7 separate regions of the Mus musculus genome follow, and regions 1, 2, 3, 4, 5 and 6 are each reported to be linked to region 7. The links are microRNA targets in miRTarBase. Many come from high-throughput screens and were not tested one by one. Region 7 holds a microRNA gene; each other region holds the end of a gene's coding sequence.

Region 1 (3,083 bases), not on the chromosome of region 7:
GTAAGTGTAGAGTGATTTTTTAAAATAAATACCTTATTCGTTTTCTTCTTTTTTTAAGACAAGCTCTCACTATAGAGCCCTGGCTGTCCTCACAATCACAGAGATCACCTGCCTCTGCCTCCCCAGTGAGTGCCAGGACTGCTTTCTGATACCTGAAAGATATTTGTATTGTTCAATGTCTTCTGTACTGAATGTCCTTCAGTATCTCAGAAAGCCATTTTTAATAATACGTGCTATTGGCATTCTGAGCTATTAAATTGATTAACCTAGGAAAATTCATTGGCCACTGTGAACTCACACTCTATCATGGCCGGAAGACATCCGAGTAATGCAGTCCAGTGTTAGCTTGTGACTGTTGTTTTGTGTATGAATTTTTAAAGAGTCTTCTTTGTTTTATTTCAACTGGGTGAATTTCTCTTTTGTTTGCCGATTATTTAGTTGTCCTGTCAGATATGTGCCTTCCTTAAAAGTGGAAATGATTTAAATAAATGTTAAGGCTATAAAAATAAGAATTTTAACTGTTTTTGTCTTTTTTTCCTCAGTGACACTACCTTCCTGGAAGAAGAATTAAAGAAACTCATTGACGCGCTGATAGAGAATTTTCTTGAGCCCAGTAAGAACGCACTGGTCTGGCGCTCTGTGTAGGGCACATCAGTACGTTATGACTCTGCACTGACATATGGAACGAAACCTTCAAGAACTCCACTCAGTGAACCTTGTGTTAGAATTCTCTCATCTGCCAAGTTATCTTTTCCCTTTTCTTTCCTGTGTTCAGCTGGCTAAATAGATTATATACATTTGAAATGAAAATATTTGGATATGAGTCAAATATTTTCATAATCTTAAGTGACAGTCATTACAATGAAAGTGTTCCAGTGGCACGCTGTTCTTCCTGTATCACAAACAGTACAAAAGTGAGTTTTCATATTGAACTGTGCTTAAGCTTAGTTACGTATCTTGTAATTGTGTATAGCATGGTTTAAAAGAAGTCAAACATTATATAACTATAGGGTTAGTTAAGGAAATTACTTCTTAAAGGTGTTTGTGTGTTTGTGGCTGGGAGTACTGTTCCTGCCTGTTTTTCAAATTAGAAACCCAGCTTGGTGGCATATTCCTGCCGTCACAGCCCTTAGGAGGCTGAGGCAGGAGGATCATTAGTAGGAGGATCATTAGTTAGTTTATGGCTAGCCTGGGCTGCACAGTAATTCTTTGTCTAGGAAGGGAGGGAGGGAGGGAGGGAGGGAGGGAGGGAGGGAGGAAGGAAGGAAGGAAGGAAGGAAGGAAGGAAGGAAGGAAGGAAGGAAGGAAGGAAGGAAAAAATGTTTATAGGTTATTTAGGTTTTCTGATTTAGGACAGATGTTACCGTCTGTGGTTTGGCACCAGTGTTTCGGGTGCCCTTGGTGTGGTGTATATTTACTGTATGTATTTAAGACGGATGTTTACTGAACATAAAACAGTAGTGGCAGCACTCCTCATGGCTTTATTCTTGTCAAATTCCTCAGTGCATTCTCAGGGTCTAGTGGGAACTGAAATGATGTTCCTGTGTTGAATATAACACAGTCCATTTTCAGATAGTTAAGGAAAATCTTCCAAACTATATAGGTGCTTCCTCTATAGGAAACAGATTTGTTCACTCTAAAGATGGTTGTAGAAAAAGGTCTTAATAAATTTTGGCTTAATGTAACTGTAGCTGAGTCTTCCTGCTAGGATTCAGTTATCATAACCTATAAGTGAAAAACTCTGTCCTATGGCATCAGCATGGCATTTATTTGGCAGTCTTTTTTAATTACATTTTTATAGCCAGATTTATTTATCTGATAAGGTAATGCTAATTTTAATAAAAAATGAAACATCAAGATATAAGTATTTTCTACAGCCACACTACCTTGATTCAATACCCAATCTCATTCTCATTATCTCAGAAGCTAAACAAGGCTAAGCACGGTGCTTGAATGGGAAATTTTAGGTATTATGAAACACTGAAACTGAAGTTAGAACTAAGGTCAATTTATTTTAGTATGCTCCATCAGGCTTTGGAATTTCTGATCATATAAATACGTTTCATCTTTTTCAATGCGAAACAGTTTTCAGGAAAGTCATTTGTGGTTGACTCTGTAGCCTTCTGAAAAGCCTAATGGAAAAATACTGTCTAAGCTTTCCAAATTATATATTTCCCCAAATAGTTTACAGAATACACACACTACAGTTATGATAACAGTAGCAAGGCCTTCAGGTATAATCATTTAAGAAAAGTTGCCTATAGGAGACAATACTGATGTTAGATGATTAGTTTCCTAAAAATAAATAATATAAAGCCTATACTGATTGGAATATTAATTAAACCATGGTGTGTTTTGTTGCAGCTTGAGGATAATTTTGGTTGAGCTTATATAATCCAAAGATAGGTTTTACATTATGTTGCCACTACTGCTCTGTGTTCCTTCCTTACTGTCTTAGAACTGGGTCCTACATTATATAGATGATAGCTAGTTAATGTTCAGTGCCATTTTCCTGTATGAGTTTATTTTAGAGGCTTTGTGCTAAAAAAAAAGTAGCATGTAGAATTTTTTGTTTTATTTTTAAAACATTTTGTTGGCTTTTAGGAGTGTAAATTGTAATTTAGGAAATAACATGTATTCTACGACGTGGTATAAAAAAACATGCCCATTCAGTTTTAGTGTCTGTGTCTCAGTGGCCCAAGGACAAAATGAAAACTAAAGCAATGTGACAGCCTGTTTATAACAAGAAAGCCACGCCATGATTGCTATTCACTTGTGAAGAGAATATCTTTGCTTCAGTGCTAAACATACAAGAAATAAGTCATCGTCACGTGACGTTACTGACATTTGAGCCCTTATCTTGAAAGGCTACATCCCAGCTGTGTATAAAGGTTCCCAGAGTGTGTAAGTTGAGGAGACCGTTTGATTCTTGTCTACATTCTTGAGTCTGTCTGAGCATGTTTAACATGAACATGACACAGTGGGTGCACAGGTGCCTAACAGGCTAAATTTAATAACAGCTCAAGATAGGCATGCCAGCCTGTGGGTCTCGACCTTGGAATGATAACTGCATTGTTTATCTC
Region 2 (3,083 bases), not on the chromosome of region 7:
CAGTGCCCCAGCAGACATACCAACCACCAATCATGCTGCCCAGTCAGGCAGGCCAAGGGTCACTCCCAGCCACCGGAATGCCTGTGTACTGTAACGTCACACCGCCAAACCCTCAGAACAACCTAAGGTTGATGGGTCCACACTGCCCCTCCAGCACGGTTCCTGTCATGTCCGCTAGTTGCAGAACAAACTGTGGGAACGTGAGCAACGCAGGCTGGCAGGTCAAGTTCTGAGAGCTCAGGCTGCCTGCTGTCCACTTCATCAGATGTTAACTCATGGCCTTCAAAGGAAGAGGAGACTGACGACTGGCTGAGGACTTCCATATACACTCAACGTGCAAACGATTGCTGCTGGTATTCTGTACAAACTAATCAAAGACTAATACACACATTAGCTGGTTAATGGTGCATAATTCCGTCATGTCTGCTAGGTATGCCTTTCTAGCTTAGCTAGTGACATGAATTCATCAAGGTAAGATTTTCTCCTACCACTGAATACCACTGTGTAGATTACAATATCCCTGATTCGGATTAGTTTTGTACTTCGTGTTGAGTTTGTGATGCTAAAAGTATTTAAAAATATATATATAAACTAAATCACACGGTACCAAAGCTGTAATGGAAAAAGGAAAGAGTTAAGGAATGGAAGGAATAATTTATATACACTATAGAGTTTTCTTTTTTAAATGGATATATATGGTATTGTAGTGTTTAATCCAAATAAAAGCTTATTTGACCTTACGGAGGAAGGTCATGTTTTTACCACCAGTTTGTTTCCGTCTCTCTTTCCATGTGCTGTTTACCTATTTAGTTAATGGTTTCATTAGCAGATAGATGTTAATTTTAAGAATGACATTTCCATACTTGTACAGAATACATTTTGACCACATTAAAACTCAATGTCTCCTCAAACTCTCCTTGATATCCTCCCTCTTCTCAGTTAGCTCCACTCTTCCATGCACTGTCTGTCTGTCTGTCTGTCTGTCTGTCTGTCTTTAATGAACCAATGAGGATTTTTTTGGGGGGGGAGGGGAGGGTTTATTTGACTTTCACTTCAATATTGTTGCTCATCACCAATGGAGATTAGGACCGAAACTCAAACAAGGCTGGAACCTGGAGGCAGGAGCCCATGGAGGGCTGTTTCTTACTGACTTGCTCTGAATCAATGAGTTTCACTAGGGCTTCTTACAGAAGCAAGGAGAGGGGATTTTTTAAGTTTAAAGGAACTTGTATAATTACTCTCTTAGAGGGAAAGTGTCTCTATCCCCCATCAACCATTAACTACCTATAAGTCCTCAGAGAGGGGCAGGGATTCATAAACCTCCCCTCCCCATGACAGGATGTTGATAGATTCCATTTTGTGTAGGTAATTGAAGATGCTGTGAGCTCAGTCAGGCCACTCTGTACCAGGCCTGGAAGATAGTGTTCCAAGAGAGTTTGCTCTTCTGCCTTCTCTTAAATTCTTTCCATCCCTTCCCCCGTGATGGTCCCTGTGCCTTGGAGGGATCATATAGAAATCCAATTTTGGCTGAACATTCGCTATGATTGTGTCTTATTAGTGTCCACGTTGTTCTTTCTTGGCGTCCCCTCACGGCTGCTATATGGAAAAGTGGCTCTCAGGCATTTTGAGTTGGCTAACATCTCTCTGAGAGATTCTATAAGCAAATATTAGTATCAAGAATAACCCCTCATCTTGATAGCATCATAAGGGCCATGAACATAAGTTGAACTCTGTGTCATTGATTTTAATTTAAAAAATATTGGAGGTGTAGAGCTATATTGTATCTACTAGGAAATTCTGAATGTTGCTAATACCAATACCTACTCTACATCTAGTCTTTTTCTGTCTTTGCTGGAGTTAAACTATGTGACTAGTAAAGATAAATTTCTTATTAATATAGAAAAGGCAGAGCCTGATTCCTCCTGCTATACTGAGCCACATACTCCAATGTACTATGGGTTTGGACAGTGAGCCAACATCTCCAAGGTACTGGCATTTGTCCTGGTAACTGAAAAAGAATGTATATAGCAACTATTTAATCACAAAGGCTAGAACATCTGCAAAGCAAATATGCAAAGCCTATGACTATCCAATCCCCTGACGGATGTATAATTCCCTATGGCATCCATGGTTAAAACTGAGTTAGGACAAAATTTAAAAATTAATAACTGAACTCTGGACTCGGAGGGTTAGCCCTTGGGAAGATGTCTCTTTGAGGGAATGAAACCTCGGAGCTTTCATCTTAATACCACAAGATAAGAATTCCTCTGTTGTTTATATTTCCTCCCTAAAAATGTGTTAAGGGAATGGCGTCAGGGAAATTCTCATCGGTTTTCATTTGCTCACACTGCCTACTCTGGATTTTTTGTTTTCAGTTGTTTAGCTGTGGATAGAGTTAATCACTTAAAAACCCTGCTTAGTAGATTATCATTTCTTTCTGTCAGGCGTCCTCTTCTTCCTTTCAAGGGGGGCTTTTGTGCTATTCTAATTATCTCTGCTCCATGTGAAGTCTGCTCCATTTTCCCATATCTGGGTCTACTTAATTTTTCATCATCATAATCCCTGACCATGAAAAGCATTATAAGAATTTTTCTTTTAATTGAGCCATTGAACCAATAACCACACTGAGGAATGTCAGCACACTTACTTCCTTAGCTAAGATCTTTCCCTAATGGAAAGAGGGTCTTGGCCAATATGTATTCATTCTCTAATTACATTTATTTATTTATTTATTTATTTATTTATTTATTTAGTGTGTGTGCGTGTGTGTGTGTGTGTGTGTGTGTGTGTGCACACGCGCACATGCATGCATATGTGCACACATGCCCTGGTGCACGTGTGAAAATCATAGTACAATTTTCAGGAGTCAGTTTTCTCCTTCTACCTTATGGGTTCTCAGGATGGCCACCTGGACAGCAAGCACCCTTTGGATTATCTCACCAGCCAATATTCACTTTAAAAAATTCTCTATTTAGGCTTTAGACTTTGACAGTAATTCTAAAATCAAATAATCAAAACATGAGTTGGAATGCTTATCCTCCCCCATAGAACTCTGGGGAACTTTGTTTTTTGTTTTATGAGCC
Region 3 (3,076 bases), not on the chromosome of region 7:
ACGAACTGTGCGGTTGCTAAGGGAGTTTCGTCGAGCCCTAGGACGGATGGTGGAGCGGAGCCTCCGCAGCGAGTTAGCTGCACTTCCTCTTAGTGTGCAGCAAGAACACGGGCAGCTGCTTGCACTGCTGGCAGAGTTGCTTCGAGGACCTTGTGGCAGCTTTGATATGCGCAAGACAGCTGATGACTGAGCCTCTCTTCCGCTGGGGCTATGTACAGAGTGCAAATGTTTATTTAAAATAAAGTTATATTTATCCCTTGTGAGTGCTGCTGTCCTCCCAAGGGCTCCTCTCAGGACTCTGGGCAGTGGCCCAAGTCCTACAGGCAGATGGGGCTTAAAACCTCTATCCTCAAGAGTGATCCACCAGAGCAGCCAACACATTCCAGCTAACTATCTGGTCAAGCCCAGCATTGTCACAGATGCTTCTAATGATACCCACAGCACAGACCGTGTCCTAATGGGTATGAATAGCAAGAGGCAAAGAGCACTGTTCTAGGCAGCCTTGATTTGTGTACATCCTGCCAGGAACTCCAGGCATTGATTTTGCCCTGGCCACAGCCATAAGGCAGGTGGGAGAGGAGCTGAAGGGGATAAGAACTAATAAGGACTAAGAGGACAGAAGCAACATAACATGGTGGGATGTCAGGCAGCTTTATTGTTTAAATCAGTACAACAATTACAGACATGGGTAATGGCTAAGCCATGAGCAAACTATAAAATACAGAAGGACCTTATTCCCAAACATTTTGAAGTATGCACATCACATGGCCTGTGGTCCCAAGCTGCTAGACCAGCCTTCTCAGGTTCTCTGGCTCGTGGGATCCTTCCAGGGAGCTACCTACAGAGCTTGGGTTACCTTCCTTTCTCTAATCCTTGGCCAATGGACTTGTTTCTTGTCAATTTCCTTAGCATCTTCAAGGCCCTAAGATCAACATCAAGGAGGGTAGCAAGTACCTGTATACGCTCAGTCATCACTACCCTGGTCCCCACTGTGTCCTTCCCAGCTCCGTGGGCCCCTATTGCTGCAAAATACAGACAATGCAGGCTCCAAGCTTAGTTCTGACAGCTTGGGAAGAAAGCCACTCCCCAGCTCAGGCAGTCTTTTTTCCACAGGTCCCAGCAATTCTTTGTGTGTGCTTAGAGAGCTAGGGATTCAGTGTCAAGATTATCACAAAGTAACTGCTACCTCATAAATGGAGAAGACCTTCAAGCCCAGGGATACCTTCCCTTGGCAGAGAGAGAGTAAAGACCTCTACCTCCTCAAACTGTACCCAAGCAAAGGCAGAGTCTGTTCGGAGGAGGGCCAAGGGGACCAAGTCTGGGCCAGCCTCCTGAGAGGCAAATCTGCCCAGCAGAAAATGCCCTATCAGAGGAGCCCTTAGACACTCCCAGGCCATTTCAATACAAACTTAGGTTTGAATCCTTTATTAGAAACCATGCAAACTTTAATACAAAAAATACAAGTGCAATAAGAATCTTGTGTTGATAAAATTCCCGGGATTTTCTCAACATTGCAACCATCCCATCCATGAGCAGACCACGCTGGGATGGCTGCACCACCATGGCTCCACCTCTCCCGCCACACCAGAAGACTGGATGGCCTCAGTCTCATGCATTTTAGTTTTAAATTTTCACACCTGATTCCCCACTGTTCACAAGCGTTCTGGACATTTCAGGCTCCCCTAGATATGAGGATTTGGGTGCTATGGCCTGTAGGTACAGGCCAGCGATTTTGACCTTCATTTCTGTTTCTCCAGCCCTGATTTTGTATCACACATTTAACCACCGCATTCCCAGGGAATGAGATAGATGCCAAAACCAGCCTCTTGGTTAGAAAAGCAGCATACACACAATACCAACACAATCAGCCACACTGACCCACCCTAGCTGTCTGACTTCACTTCTTCCTGCAGGGCCCAAGCTGCCCAGAGTAGGGCAACCCCCGCCAATATCTGACAGCCTCCTCAGTGGAGACTCGGGATCTCCTTCCCCACTTCCCTCACCACCTACCAAGAACTCTCATTTAGACATGGCTTCAGCCTGCAAACTACACCACCAGTTCATAGGTTATTGGGAGAGGAAAGAATAAAAAAGTGAGACAGCAGCTACTCAGGTACGATAAGTCGTGGGGACAAGGAGGACTGATCCTTGACTAACTTGAGGTGAGGCAGCAAAAGGGCCTGGTACCACCAAATGGTGGCTTCCACCCCGTGGGGTCAAGGAGTGGTTTAGGTTCCAGGGATTCAGTCGGTGCTGGTCTCCACGTGGAGTTCACCTTTACCAGTCCCTCCAGGTTGAGCCAGGGAAGAGAGGTTTGTCAGTTTCTTTTGGGTTTGGTCCAAAAAAACCAAACAGCCAAGGCTGGAATCCAGCTCCTCACCCCTAGATCCCACAGAGATCCCACTGGACTCCCGTCCCCGCCCAACTTTCTCCGTGGTGCAGTGGTGAAGTGGTGAGATAGTGAAGTTGGAGTTGGCCCAGAAAGGGGTGGAAGGAGGTGTAATGGCAGCGAGTGGGGCTGCTGCTGCCTTGAGCAAGCGAGGCAGGAGGGAGGGAGGCCTAAAGGGGCTGCCCAGCACCCAAGAGCTTACAAGTCTAGTAGACAGCCCGGGAAAAGGAGCCCAGGGCTCGAGACCCCAAGCTTGGGCCACCAGGGAAGTGGGGAGGCCGGGAGACAATGTCAGCCCCATGGTCGGTGCGGGCCCTGGCATTTGCCCGGAACGTCAGCCTGTAGGTCTCAATCTGCAGTGACACGTGAGGAGGGATGGGAGAGGGTAACAAGGGGGGGAGACAAGAGAGGGAACACAGGGGAGATGGAAGACGAGACCAGAATGTCATCATTAGATGCCTGGAAGATAAAAGGTTACTTTGTTAAAATTTAGGCCATACTCCAGTCATAAAACAAAGGAGCTTCAATTTTCAGCCAGTGACAGGGCCCCTGGCTGGCCCTTAGGCCAAGCCCAGCCACTTACTTGTCTCCTGGATCTGGCTGTCCAAGGTCTGGGGCTCCCTTTGGTCACCACCCCCTGACAGGGTGGTGTGGCCACTGAGGCCACTGGCTGAAGTAGGGGCGCCA
Region 4 (3,083 bases), not on the chromosome of region 7:
AGCCCAGATGTACAGTCCATGCAGAGACCTAGGGCACACACAGGTCAGTAAGGGTCAGTGCAGCTGTCTGTGATAACCCTGAAATCTGAAATGCTATCGTCTGAGGACAGACATTTTAAAATGTCTGCAGGAAAAGTATTCTATCTTAGAAAGACACTATAGGGTGGTATACTCACCTCCAACAGTAGTCTGTGCTGAATCTTACCAAGAACGTAAACTTCAACGTCATTTTATTTAGTCCTAATCAGATGTTGATCCCGTTTGCTTTTCTTTTCCCTTAAGATCGCAACGCCTGCCCGCTACACCGTGACCTTGGGAGGAACCTCCTTTACCGTGAAGTATTTGCGAAGTCACGGCTACATGTCAACCCCACCGCCTGTCAAGGAGTACTTGCAGGGCAGAATGGAAGAGACGAAGGAGCTCATCACAGAGAAAATGGAGGAGACAAAGGACAGACTCACTGAGAAGTTACAAGAAACCAAAGGAAAAGTGTCCTTTAAGAAAAAAGTGGAATGAGGGTGCCTTATTACAGAAAAGCCTACACTATCCCTCGGTAGACTCTGGGCAAAGAACATGTTTCTGATTTTTTTTTTTTTCTTTTTTTGGTTACTTGCCTAAATGTATTCATTCTCTGCGGGTTAAAGAACAAAGATAGGTTTGGGGGGTTTTTTTGTTTTTTAATTTTTGTTCTTTTAAGTTAAATAACAATAGGGAGGAAAATCAATGTTTTTCAAAATGAGGAAATGAACCCAGCATACAGCATTTATATGAGATGCAGCAATAAGCAGTAGTTGATGTCCTAGAAATCAGAGTTCTTTTTGCTTCGTTTCTCTGACCCCTGCAGTAAGGCTGTGCTGGGCAGTCCACTCCCAGAGGAACATTCACTAAGGACCCAGTCCTGTGGGAATGAATTTACACCATTGAAGACTCTGGATGGAGAGACGAGAGACACTCCCTACCACTTACCAAGTAGACCTTATTTCAAGAAGGTCATGTTAAAGGAATCAGTCTTACATTTATAAATAATATATATTGGCTATGTAATGAAATGGATCTTTTAAAGTGGTTTTTACCTGGAGCTTGTCAACTTACAGTTTTTAAAGCCTATTCCTTCTCAGTCTTGACTGTGCTTGGTGGATGGTCAAGTGGACGGTCAGACGTTCTTATAACCTGTGTCTTCTCCAACTAATCCTTGGAGAATCATGGAAGTTTTACACTCTTCATTGTTGCCATCACATACATCAGCAAGTCAGGTTCACTGTTTAACTGCATCAAGCTTTGCAAGACCGCTGCTGATTTTGGTAGGAGCAAAAGTCTGTAACGGAATGTGGAGGAGATGGATGCTCGAGGGTGGTACTCGTAGACAACAGGTGGGAGGAGCACCGTGTGGCTCATTGGTTTCTAAGACCTCTCCTGCTGCTGCTTCAACTCCTTCAGGATTTCGGTCTTTTATCCCTGGTCAAAACAGGCCTGTCTGTCACAGATACCATTAGTGTTGTGGCTCAGGTTTCTCATTGGAAGGGGAAATTACTGCTTAAATATTCTGCTTGATTTTTTATATATATATATATAGCAAAAAGCTCACTGCTTGTAATTCAACGACTGTCAAGCAAGTCCGATGACTGCAGAGTGTCTTTCTGTTTGTGTGTCTTTCCTTCAGGTCTAACCCTTGATTTGACACTGGGGCAAGAAATGCGTCTTTAGAGAGCATTGGCTTTGACTTAGCATCAGGAGAATGTCAGAGCCCATGCCACATTGCTATCCCATTCAGTCCCTGCTTTGTGTCAGACTTTATGTCAAATGCTTAATTTAGCCAAATTTAGGAAATGGAGGAATAACTTCACACTTGAGGCACTCAGTCATTATATTGAAACACCATTGAAGTAAAAATGCTTTGGTTGAAGTCTTTCTGGGTTGGAAGAATTACAGAGGGGAATTTGTCCTGTTCTTTTGTTTGTTGGCAGCCTGATTAATCTGAGGTAGAGGTCACTGAGTGAACTGCTATAAACAGACGGCACACTTTCAAATACAATATAAACATGGCAGCACACTGGAGCCTGCTTATTAAATAGTCAGGTTCTAAATGCTGGTGTGTTCACATGTTCCCTTTGAAGCCACCAAGAATGCTATGCCAACATGTGGTGGTACATGGAATTCTTTCTTCTAAAACCTTTTATCTGTCGTAGTGCATAACTGGAGAGTTCTTAAGACATTGCTAATAATCATGAGACTGCAACTTTCTTGTCCTAAGTCAGTACCTTCTGCCTAGTCCATTGTAGTCTTATCACCATCCAGTTTTATGTCTGGGTCATGTGTACCCAGTTAAAGCAGATGAGGAAATGCTGTGTGTGCTTTAAATCTGATAAAAATATTTCTAATGATCTGAGAAGTTACATTGTTACAATTTGACATCAGTTGTGTCATAAAAATGCTGTTGCCAATGTATTATCTTTAAGGCAAGAAACAGCTTATAGGCAAACCTGTAATATGTTGATAGCAGACAACAGTAACATTTCAACTTAAATTATCAAAATGTATAATATAGATAGATTTTTGTATATGCTGAACTGCATTTTATTTAAAGTGGATCTTGCATTTCTCTAAGCTGCAAGGGAAGCCGGACCGCCATGCCTGGTGAGCATATCCATCCTTTGAAAGATACACTCATGTCCTAAACGGAGCTGTGACTGAGATTTAGTGTTTTCAATATGAACAAAAAGCATTTGCCTAGCAAATTAAGTTCAAATGAAGGCTTAGTCTTTTGAAGAATAAAGCATAAAACCAGCCTTTTAGAATATCACATCATTATTGAGAGCCTTTTGTGCAAAATGGGGTGCTGTTCAGTTTCACCAAAGGGAAAAGATGTATGTTGGGATTAGCTGCCTCCCACAGTGGAACAATAAAACTAAGCCTTCCAGTATATTCCCCCGAGTTCTCCATTGTAAATCCTCCTCCATCATCTTTACAGAGGAAAGAGCTACGTTCTTTATGCTCAGGGGAAAGAGCTGGTCAGTTCCTTGTTTCTGTGGTCTTCAACCATGGTTCTGGGAATTTTAAACATCTTTATACTTTGGGCAGAAGAG
Region 5 (3,083 bases), not on the chromosome of region 7:
CAGGCTGAGCTACTTTTTTTTTTTTTAACATAAAAATGTTAAATTTCTACACAAAAATTTAGATCTAAAATGATCTGAGATCCAGGAATCCTGTTTAAGCATTTCTATATCATGATGAGAGACTCTTGTAGGCTGCAGTCACTAGGAGTTGACATGACTACTGTTCTGTTCCTATTCAACGTCAGGGTTGAATCTGAACTTCATAATGAGAGGGCAAGGTCTGTGTGGGAGCCCAATGGAAGGTAACTGTACTGTGATTTTTAAACAAGACAGAGGAGTATTTATTTTGTAAACAATGTCTAGGAAGGCATGCCACCTACTTTAAAACAGAAGTCCCCCAGATTTGTCCAAGTAACAACAAAGTGTAAGAGGATGACTTGTCAGTCTGAATTGTGACAGTGGCCACTTGGTATCCAGGATGCTTGAAAGCACAATGATGCATACATACTTGTTAATTAAATTTCTTTTACTTCTTTAAATTAGTTCAAGCTGCCCAGGCTTCCGTTTTGTCAGCTCAGACCTATCATCTCTCCTATTGTTAGCTCAAGAGGAACTCCATGATTCCTGTACATGGAGGTCTTCAGCTGGACCAACCGGAATAATTAACCCCCTGCTGTAACCAGAGGTCCAAGCGGGAGCTAGAATCATCTCAGAGAATAGCTTTGTTTTCAGATGGGGCCAAGGTCTGGGTGGATGGAGTGACTGGTCCAGGCCTTTGCTGGCTTTAGCCAGAGCTAGTCAATACTAGGGCTCTGAGCACTACCATGCATTTGATACAAGGAAGATCTCCTTGTGACTGATCATCACAAATACACTCTTTACTCTTGCCAAATAGCACACGTATAATTTTAACAAAATGCTCACCAAGAGCCCACCTTTCAATATAGGCCCCAGAGGGTGAGAGACATATTAATTATCTGGTCAGTTGAAAAAAAAAATTTACTCAAGCCAATGAGGGATAGTTTTCAGCACTTGAACTTCTTTTAAATAAATGACCCATGGTTAATTTATCATCTCCCAGTTTTTATCCTTTAATCTTTAGTTTTAAATTCTTGATAGCAATTGCTATGAAACCTAGGCCTATAATCGAGACTGGAGAGAGAAGCATACACTTCTGAGGCAATTAAATAAAGAGTCCGTTTTATTTTTTCATGCTAAGCTATGATATTTAATTAATTGAATATTAGTCTCCTCCTTATAGGGCTAGCTGCATCTTCCAACATTCTTGTGAGCTTGGAGAGATCTGCTGTGCGGGCATGTTCTAGAAGACTGAATGCAAGCATGTTTTGTTATCCATTCATTTGTGACTTCAATCATAACTGCATTTTCTGCAACATAAATGCTAAATTGTACAATATGCCTCTTTCTAAGCATATCAGGTCAATTGTTAAACAGACCAGTAGAAATGATCATATTACAAACTTAAACTGAACTACAGGGTATAGCACATGACTTCATTTAATATTGATAGCAGCTCAATTTAACAGTTGAAAAAGCAAACACCTTTAATAAATTTGGTGTGAATGATCATATAGCCTGATATACTATTGTACAGGAGTGTATACATATAAATCTATATGTTGAATTATGTACATTTCAATATATACCACAGATTTTTCCTACTCACAATTTTCTTTTGATAAAGGAAGCAGTTTCACTGTACACGATGTGAAATGCTACATTATGTCCTGAGTAATTGAGGGATTATTAATAAACTACTGAAAATTCTCTCTCTCTTTTTAGTTAATGATCTTGAAGGTTCTGTACTAAAACATGGACAAAGGATATTTAAAAGATTGCATCCAGCTTTGCACTTGTTTTATGCAGAAAAAGCTAAAAAATGAACAACAGCCTTTGAGGTTTGGGAAAATGCCCTCAAATAGTGAAGGTTAAACAATGTCTTATTTGTAGGGATTTCTGCAAGTTTCTGCAATGTTGCCTACATCCAATTTGTCAGGCATGGAAGACTCTTCTCATGATTGGCCTACAGATCCTTTTTACTGAACAGGACATTCTATGTAAACGTCAGTATTTAGATATTATTAAATCCAAATCCAAATGAACAAAACAATATGACATAACTTAAAACATCTTTGAAACCTAGCCAGCCACATGGAAGAAGTATAAAAAAAAAAGCATATTTTGGTGAAAAAGGAAACCAGATGAAAGTCACTTAAGGGTGGTCTGGTAAGCCACCCACAATGGGAAGTCCCAAGTTGGCTTGGCTCTAGGAGTCCCTAGATAAGCAAGCCACACATCCATCCTGCCACAGGGGATTGACTTGCTGTACTATGGGAAAGGCCACGTTCAAGTGCAGAGGTACAGTAACAACTGTCAATCAGAGTTGCCCTTGGCAGGCAAGCACCCACTCCCAAACTCAGGCACTAGATATGGTGTGAGAGGTGGTCTGGGCTGGCTGCTGCATGTTGCCACAACTGGAGGAGGCAAGCTGGAATCCTGGTGCAGGAGTCCACTCTGCATCAGAGTCTATTTGATGAGAAGGCACTGTGTTGGTGGTTCCTTGGTCGCCACAGCTCTACCCTGTCCCATGGCTGCTGTAGTCAAAAACTCCTTTCTTGAAGAATGGTGAGAATTCACAAATGGTGTGCTTGGACAGGGTCAGTCCCACTTTGTTGATGTGAAGGGGAGATGTCTCGGACTGGAGCATCACACTGAAAAACTCCCTGAGGTATTTCTGAGAAGAGACAAGAATGAAGATTATGGTCAAGACAGTGCTACAGTCAAGGAGGGGAGAGAAACTCTCCTGTGTACCCCTGGCATGTATAAACACTTACTTCATCAATACCACCAAGGAGAGAATGCTCCAGAGGTCCTTGACCTCCTGGGCTACTGTCAGCCTGTGCAGAGTAAACAGAGCAGTGACATCCAAGCCCACAGTAGGAATTTCTTTGGCTCAGGTCTCTAATCCACAGAAATGTCACCTGATGTCCATCTACTCAGTGCCATGAGGAATGCCAGTCATGCTAACCCTGGGCATTTTCCCTATGGCAACTTTACCTTACTTAAAATGTCATTGTCCTCTAAAGCTTCACACAGGGGGGTGGGGATGGAGGGTGACCATC
Region 6 (3,069 bases), not on the chromosome of region 7:
TTGTAATCCTATAAGCCTAGCACTCAGGAGATTGAGGGTAGCCCAGGGAGAGCCTGGGCTACACCTAGAGACCTTCTCCCCAAATCCAACAACAGAAAGTCCTGAGTAAATGTGTGCGTAGCCTTCACCTACCAAGCTCTCCTTTCTTCCTTCACAGGAAGCTCTGGACACAGGAGGGGCCAGCAGCCTTCATGAAAGGAGCAGGCTGCCGTGCCCTGGTCATAGCCCCCCTCTTTGGGATCGCCCAGGGCGTCTACTTCATTGGCATCGGAGAGCGCATCTTGAAGTGCTTTGAGTAATCTATGTGTCACTTCTTGCTGTCACCTCTGGCCCTAGGGAACTAGGTGGCACTGCTGGAAGTATAAGATGCTGGCTCTGACGTACGTGGTCTCTAACCTGTAGTGCTACCTCAGAAGAAATGACCCATTTTACTAAGCGAGTAGAGCCTTCATCTCCTTTATGAAAACTAAACTTTCTGAACCAGAGATGTTCGGAAGCCCCAACCTCTTATGTACTATGGCAGGACCGTGTGCAGTAAGACAGAAGGGCTCTTCCACACTAACATCCCCACTGCAGGCAAGTGTGGCACAGAATCGTCCTGTGAGGGTTTAGCGTCAATCCTAACCTTGCCGCCCTAACAGATCAGAAGTGCACCTGTGCCCTCGCGGGCATCAGCAATAGTCTGAGAGCCTGAATGAACATTCTGGCCACCTCAGCAGCGGTCCTGCCCCAGATACTCACCCTGAAGTATGGGCCCAGATCCCTTCCAATAGATGCTTGTGGGACATGATCTGAAATAAAGCTGGTTAAATCCTTGTCCTGTAATCAGCATAGCAGATGACTGTCATTCTGCAGAGTCAAGCTGTGCCTTCTTGGGCCCCACAGACAGTTCATTACTGTCTTCCAACTGCTGTTCTAGAGTGGAGAGTGGTTGGGGGGAAATTGTACACTGAAAGAGTTCAGCTTTTAAAAAATAATTATTTACTAATTTACATGTCTGTGTATCTGTAACCCCCAAGAGAGCATTGGACCTCCTAAAGCTGTGTTACAGGTGGTAGTGAGCTGCCAGACACGGCACTAAGAACTGAATTCAGGTCCTCCGGAAGAGCAGCAGGTGCTGGCTCCAGTTCCTACCCTTGACTCTCACCTCTTTCTACCTTTCATGGCCATGTCAACACCAAGAAACCCAATCTCATGGCCCTCAATTCATTTCTCCGAAGCCACACAAATGATGTTAGGCCCTAAGAAAACAGGAATGAGAGCTGGGTACACAGGTCAGTTAGCAAAGGATTCCACCCCCAACACCATGGTGGCCCGTGCCTATAGTCCCAGTCCTTAGTAGCTGAGGACGGGAGGATAGGAAACATGAAGGTCATAACATCAGTGAGCACATTCTAGGCCAGCCTACACTGTATGCAACCCTGCCAAACTACAAAACTGAAAAGAACCTCCATTAGTCCCACCTAACGTAAAACTTGGGTCTGGGGGAGTACGCCGATGTACATGCAGATAATCCATCTGAAAACGGCCTTATTCTCTCTAAGACAAGATAGGTAAAACCCCAAAGATGCACAGGCCACAGGTTGCGGGGCATGGCTCAGCGGTGCAGCATCTGCTTCCCTATGAGGCTCTGGCACCCACTGCTAACACACACACACACACACACACACACACACACACACACACACACACACACACAAAGCTGTCCAGCCTCCAGGACAGGCAGGTTAATGTACGGCAGGGATTTGGGATAGCTCCTCTCTGGATCTTCCTGTTGCCCAGGCTGCCCCCAAACAATCCTCCCACCACAGCTAGGGCTACAGGTGTGGGCTACCGTGCCCAGTGGAACTTACTCTCAAATCACAAACTCGGTGCCTTACATAAGGAACAACAACTAAATCCACATAAGCCCTCTGTTTTAATAAATAAAGAATATTTGTGGCTTAGATTTTAAATCACATTTACAGAGAAGGAAGACTAGACCTAAACAGTAACAGCGAAGGTAGTGTTCCTGGAGGAATGTGAGTCCCACATGCACTTTATGCCCAAAGAGCAGGGACAGCATGCACAACTCACTCTAGACTAGAGCAGGACAGGGAAAGAATGGGTCCTGGGTGAGGCCGTGCAGCACATCTGACCCTCCCGTCCTGCTGCAAACCCAGTGAACAGCTGTGGCCTCAGATGAGCTGGGGCTGGGTTCTTGCCCACACCAAGTGGCCCTGCTGTTGACACTGAGCCGAGGGCATTAGCTGTAGAGGGTGTCCACTGATTACCAGTATTAGAACAGAAAGAGGAAGCCACACAGATAATCTGCTTCTCCAGGAGAACAGCCGTGGGGGAACTGCTCCTCCTGAAGCTCAGTCCAGAAACTTCCTATTGGCATTTGCACCAAACAAGGCTCCACGGACTTCTGGCATCATCTGTAAAGAAGTCAGTAAATCAGGACCTCAGTCAGGGAAGTTGCAGACAATATTAACACCATGTGGGGAAAGGACATTGCTAAGCACATCAGACCTGTCCTATCTGCTGCACTGTGCCAGACAGTTAAGCAGTCAGACTATGCTCACAAAAGGGGAAAGACCTGAAGTCATTACTGTACTCAGTCTGTGACACTGAGTGTGTGAACCCCTTCCAGGACTGGCTGCAAAGGGCACTTAGATGGAGTCTGTTGATGTCTTGACAGAGAGTTACAAGGATGAGTGTGACCCCTAAGAGTAACCACATTGGCTTTTGTGGGGTCTCAGGCACTCCAATGGTCTGGAAGTTTGATAAAAGCCAGCATTGCTCAGGATCTTGTGAAAGTAGTTCCCACTCTGGCAGAAGGGATATAGGTTGTGTGTCAAAGCCCCTGCAGGCCTCCAGGCTCCCTCAGTATCCCAAGTAGCTGTTACACATTTCAAACCCACACTGCCATCCTAGCCTTTCTCAGCTCCCAGACAGCCATCTGTTCCCTTCTGCCCCACTTTTCTCACAGATCTCTTCTGTCCTCCCACACTGTACAGTCTCCCTTGATAGCTCCATGGGAACTTCTCACCCACTGTGCTAGCCCTCACCATGTCCAGTCTACGT
Region 7 (3,083 bases):
GCGCCCTGCTCAACTCTCGGCCTGTGCTGACGTTTGATTCTTGAGCAGAGGTTGCCCTTGGTGAATTCGCTTTATTGATGTTGAATCACACAAAGGCAACTTTTGTTTGAGTATCAAAGCCTGCTTGGGGTGGCATTGGGGACACGTTACAAAGTTCTGGGGTCTCTGCAAATGTCATGTGCTAGAATGGAAGGTGTGGATATGGGGATGGTCAGGAAGGGGTGTGGCTCAGAACGCCACGTGACCAGACATGTAGTCCCAGGAACCAATGGAGAGATGCCAATATCTACTCCCTGACTCTTCTCAGCCTGAATCCTCTTTGTCACACCAGCACCTAGCCCCCCTAGTTGCAGACACACTCGCTGTTCTATCTCTACTCTGAAGATACCTTGACAAAATGAACTCTGTCCTTTGACAGTGTCAAGGACAATGGCAGCCTTCCCTCCCCACCCCCTTCCTCTCCTCAACTCACTGGGTCAGGAGTGCTCACATACCATCTGTTTTTCCCCCCTCCCACCCCACCCCCTCAACACACCTCTGTCTGTTTCTCTTTCGTCCTCATCGCTCACCAAACCTTGTTCTCCATTTTTGGATGGGTTAGGAAATGAATAGAGGCGACCAGCATTTCATCCCGTTTACATTAAATAATAGTGATAAAATAATCACAAAATAACACCACAAACTACCAGAATAGCTTGGAGGAAAATGTGTTCAATTGACTACAAATTGGCAGAAGAATCCAATTTTCTTGACAACATTTGAGCTGCGACATTTGACCTGGGGAAACAGTACTCTGTAGACATGGCAGCCGCAAGGGGCAGCTTCAGTAGTGGCGGATGCTATGAGCAGTAATATTTGTGGTAGATGAACGCACATTGAGGAATCAAATCTTCGTTCAGATTTTTAAATGGGAAAGAATTGATCCTAATGAAAATGATTTGAGGAAATAACAAGGGAAATAAAAGAAATGAAAATGGCCCAACAGCACAGTCAAGGAAGCTAAACAGGGAATTGGATTAGTTTAATGGAATTTACTTTAAAAAAAAAAAAAGGAAAGAAATGCATGTTTTTTTATGAAAATCAATGTGGGTGTGGTGTTTGAGATGGGGAAATCTATGGATATAGACTAGAGCTAGTGGGGTGATAAGAAGGACTGGTCACCATGTGGGTTTTTTTTTTTAATGTGGCTAAACTTTATTTTCCCATCCCAAACCTTTACAGAGAGCTTCATGGAGTATTCAGAAGCTGGCGGGTGTCACCTGGAGGATGTGACTGGGTACCAGTGCCAGAGCACGTGCCCACTGAGCAGTCTTCTTCACTTTCCTCGATCCTCATGAAACATTCCGGGTAAGACACTGGTTCTGGGGAGTCTGCTCTTGCCGAGCAGTTGGTACCTGGAACATTCTAGGGCCTGCCCTTCCTTGGGTTTCCATGTTGCCAGCTCCCAGGGCTAGGCTTAAAGACGTACCCATTGTTGGTGCTGAAGGGCTAGGCCCGTACGGGAGGTCATTTTAGAGTGGATGTATCCAGGGTCTAATATACTATCTGGGGTGTGATGAGCACCAGGTTTCATGGTGGCTCTCTTTCCAAAAGGATCTTTACCTCAAAGGACTCCAGAGGCTACATCATTGTCTTGGAACTGGTCAGTGGCTGGAGCTCTCTCCAGGACAAGTGCTTGGAGGAAGAACCTGGACAAGCTTCCCTCCCCATACTGTTGACTGGATCTTGTAGCTACCGTTAGCCACCATCATCGCCATTGTGTGCCTCTTAGGAGCATTTCCAGGAGGTGATGCCAGCTGGGGAAAGAGCCTCTGTCCCACAGGTCAGTTTCCAGAACACCTACATGAAGCTGCCCGTGGCGTCTTTTCCCCGTATGACACACTGCATGTGACCAGTCTCTTGCTGCCCTGCAGCAAGGCTAGAAGCCTGTGTGAACTCTTGCCAAAATCAGAGAAGGGATTCTGATGTTGGTCACACTCCAAGAGTTTTAAAATGAGTGGCGAACACAGAATCCATACTCTGCTTATGGCCTAAGTCAATGGATCCTGACCCTTACTGGAGAGCCCTCCCTGGCGTGCTCGTGCGGGGCAGCCATACACACTGGCACAAGGGGACCCTGCGGGATCTCCTTCCGCTGTTCTTTCTCTCCTCCCTCCATGTTTATCTTTGAAGCATTACTTGCTTGGTTTATAGGACTGGATGGTCAAGCAGTTCTTGCTATGACATCACCGTGGGGGGAGGGGGCAGGTGACAGGGCGGGGATGCCAGGGTCGTGGGGCTGCAGTGGTTGGGTGGGCCCAAGGAGGAGCATCTCTGGATGATGCAGTCATTGCCTCCTCGCTTCTGGAAGGCATCGTCTCTGGGAGGGTGGTGTGGTATATGCGCAGGGTCTCAGCATCTCCCTATCTCCAGCTTACAAAGGAGAGATAGAGTAAGCAGAGTTCTGCACCCACTTCTGCCCCGAGTCAGCTCCTCGCTACCTGGGTCTCAAGGTTGTCTGGGAAGGCTTTAGATATTCTTGGAAGGTGAAAGGGTGGTAGATTGCACTGGGGAGGTGATGGAATAATTGCTTTCACGTGGTGGAGGGTGGCTCCTCACTGAATGGGGAGTTATAATCTCTGAGGGGCTCCAGGATGGTTCTTCTGGAAACTCAGCCATCGGCCTCGTTCTGAGCATCCGAGCCTCTCCGTGGTACTCGGAGAGAGGTTACCCGAGCAACTTTGCATCTGGAGGACGAATGTTGCTCGGTGAACCCCTTTTCGGTATCAAATCCCTCCAGGGAGGCCACCTCAGGGAAGACCATGGACTCATCTCGCTCTGGGGTATGGGACGGATGGTCGACCAGCTGGAAAGTAATTGTTTCTAATGTACTTCACCTGGTCCACTAGCCGTCGGTGCCCGCTGCAGCCTGCGCCCAGGATGTCACAGCCTCAGCTCAACACCTCTGCTGGTACTTGAAGGGAGATCGACCGTGTTATATTCGCTTGGCTGACTTCGAATAATACATGGTTGATCTTTTCTCAGTATCAACGCTCAGCTTGGAGAAGCTCTTGGAGTTGCAGCCCCTGTGGGGGTGGGGACAG

What was found. Region 7 holds the annotated microRNA mmu-miR-541-5p (AAGGGAUUCUGAUGUUGGUCACACU, at 1,954-1,978, shown strand). A microRNA usually pairs through its seed, bases 2 to 8, with sites in the 3' UTR of a target mRNA and lowers its output. Matches are read on the target gene's strand: a 7mer-m8 pairs with bases 2 to 8, a 7mer-A1 pairs with bases 2 to 7 and ends in A, and an 8mer does both.
Region 1: miRTarBase lists Pgm2l1 as a target of mmu-miR-541-5p. The part of its 3' UTR that is shown has no 7-base or 8-base seed match.
Region 2: miRTarBase lists Arpp21 as a target of mmu-miR-541-5p. The part of its 3' UTR that is shown has no 7-base or 8-base seed match.
Region 3: miRTarBase lists Map4 as a target of mmu-miR-541-5p. Seed matches in the 3' UTR shown: 7mer-m8 at 2,238-2,244 and 8mer at 1,147-1,154.
Region 4: miRTarBase lists Fam210a as a target of mmu-miR-541-5p. The part of its 3' UTR that is shown has no 7-base or 8-base seed match.
Region 5: the mRNA of Kif16b is a reported target of mmu-miR-541-5p. Seed matches in the 3' UTR shown: 8mer at 1,909-1,916 and 7mer-m8 at 1,700-1,706.
Region 6: miRTarBase lists Slc25a18 as a target of mmu-miR-541-5p. The part of its 3' UTR that is shown has no 7-base or 8-base seed match.

Annotation. Positions count from the first base shown.
Region 1 is chr7:100,271,785-100,274,867 of GRCm38, forward strand. Pgm2l1 (phosphoglucomutase 2-like 1) reads left to right here. Exons shown (of 14, transcript NM_027629.3): 14 at 543-3,083. The coding sequence ends at 645. Among named protein-coding and RNA genes, the nearest start is that of P4ha3, 12 kb to the right of the region's middle.
Region 2 is chr9:112,062,915-112,065,997 of GRCm38, reverse strand. It overlaps Arpp21 (cyclic AMP-regulated phosphoprotein, 21), which reads left to right. Exons shown (of 21, transcript NM_001362020.1): 21 at 1-907. The coding sequence ends at 233. Among named protein-coding and RNA genes, the nearest start is that of Gm51694, 23 kb to the left of the region's middle.
Region 3 is chr9:110,081,507-110,084,582 of GRCm38, reverse strand. Map4 (microtubule-associated protein 4) reads right to left here. Exons shown (of 19, transcript NM_001205330.1): 18 at 2,973-3,076; 19 at 629-2,848. The coding sequence ends at 2,841. It overlaps Dhx30 (DEAH (Asp-Glu-Ala-His) box polypeptide 30), which reads left to right. Exons shown (of 23, transcript NM_001252682.1): 23 at 1-264. The coding sequence ends at 190. Among named protein-coding and RNA genes, the nearest start is that of Dhx30, 35 kb to the left of the region's middle.
Region 4 is chr18:68,266,152-68,269,234 of GRCm38, reverse strand. It overlaps Fam210a (family with sequence similarity 210, member A), which reads left to right. Exons shown (of 4, transcript NM_153794.4): 4 at 283-3,083. The coding sequence ends at 516. Among named protein-coding and RNA genes, the nearest start is that of Mir7219, 6.7 kb to the right of the region's middle.
Region 5 is chr2:142,617,222-142,620,304 of GRCm38, forward strand. It overlaps Kif16b (kinesin family member 16B), which reads right to left. Exons shown (of 26, transcript NM_001081133.2): 26 at 1,124-2,695. The coding sequence ends at 2,537. Among named protein-coding and RNA genes, the nearest start is that of Kif16b, 280 kb to the right of the region's middle.
Region 6 is chr6:120,793,345-120,796,413 of GRCm38, forward strand. It overlaps Slc25a18 (solute carrier family 25 (mitochondrial carrier), member 18), which reads left to right. Exons shown (of 10, transcript NM_001081048.2): 10 at 158-638. The coding sequence ends at 299. It overlaps Atp6v1e1 (ATPase, H+ transporting, lysosomal V1 subunit E1), which reads right to left. Exons shown (of 9, transcript NM_007510.3): 9 at 1,900-2,420. The coding sequence ends at 2,358. Among named protein-coding and RNA genes, the nearest start is that of Slc25a18, 21 kb to the left of the region's middle.
Region 7 is chr12:109,740,469-109,743,551 of GRCm38, forward strand. Mir541 (microRNA 541) reads left to right here and starts at 1,941; the gene lies at 1,941-2,030. It overlaps Mirg (miRNA containing gene), which reads left to right. Exons shown (of 8, transcript NR_028265.1): 3 at 1,222-1,347; 4 at 1,594-1,822; 5 at 2,889-2,950. Mir377 (microRNA 377) reads left to right here and starts at 42; the gene lies at 42-109. It overlaps Mir409 (microRNA 409), which reads left to right and starts at 2,690; the gene lies at 2,690-2,768. It also overlaps Mir412 and Mir369.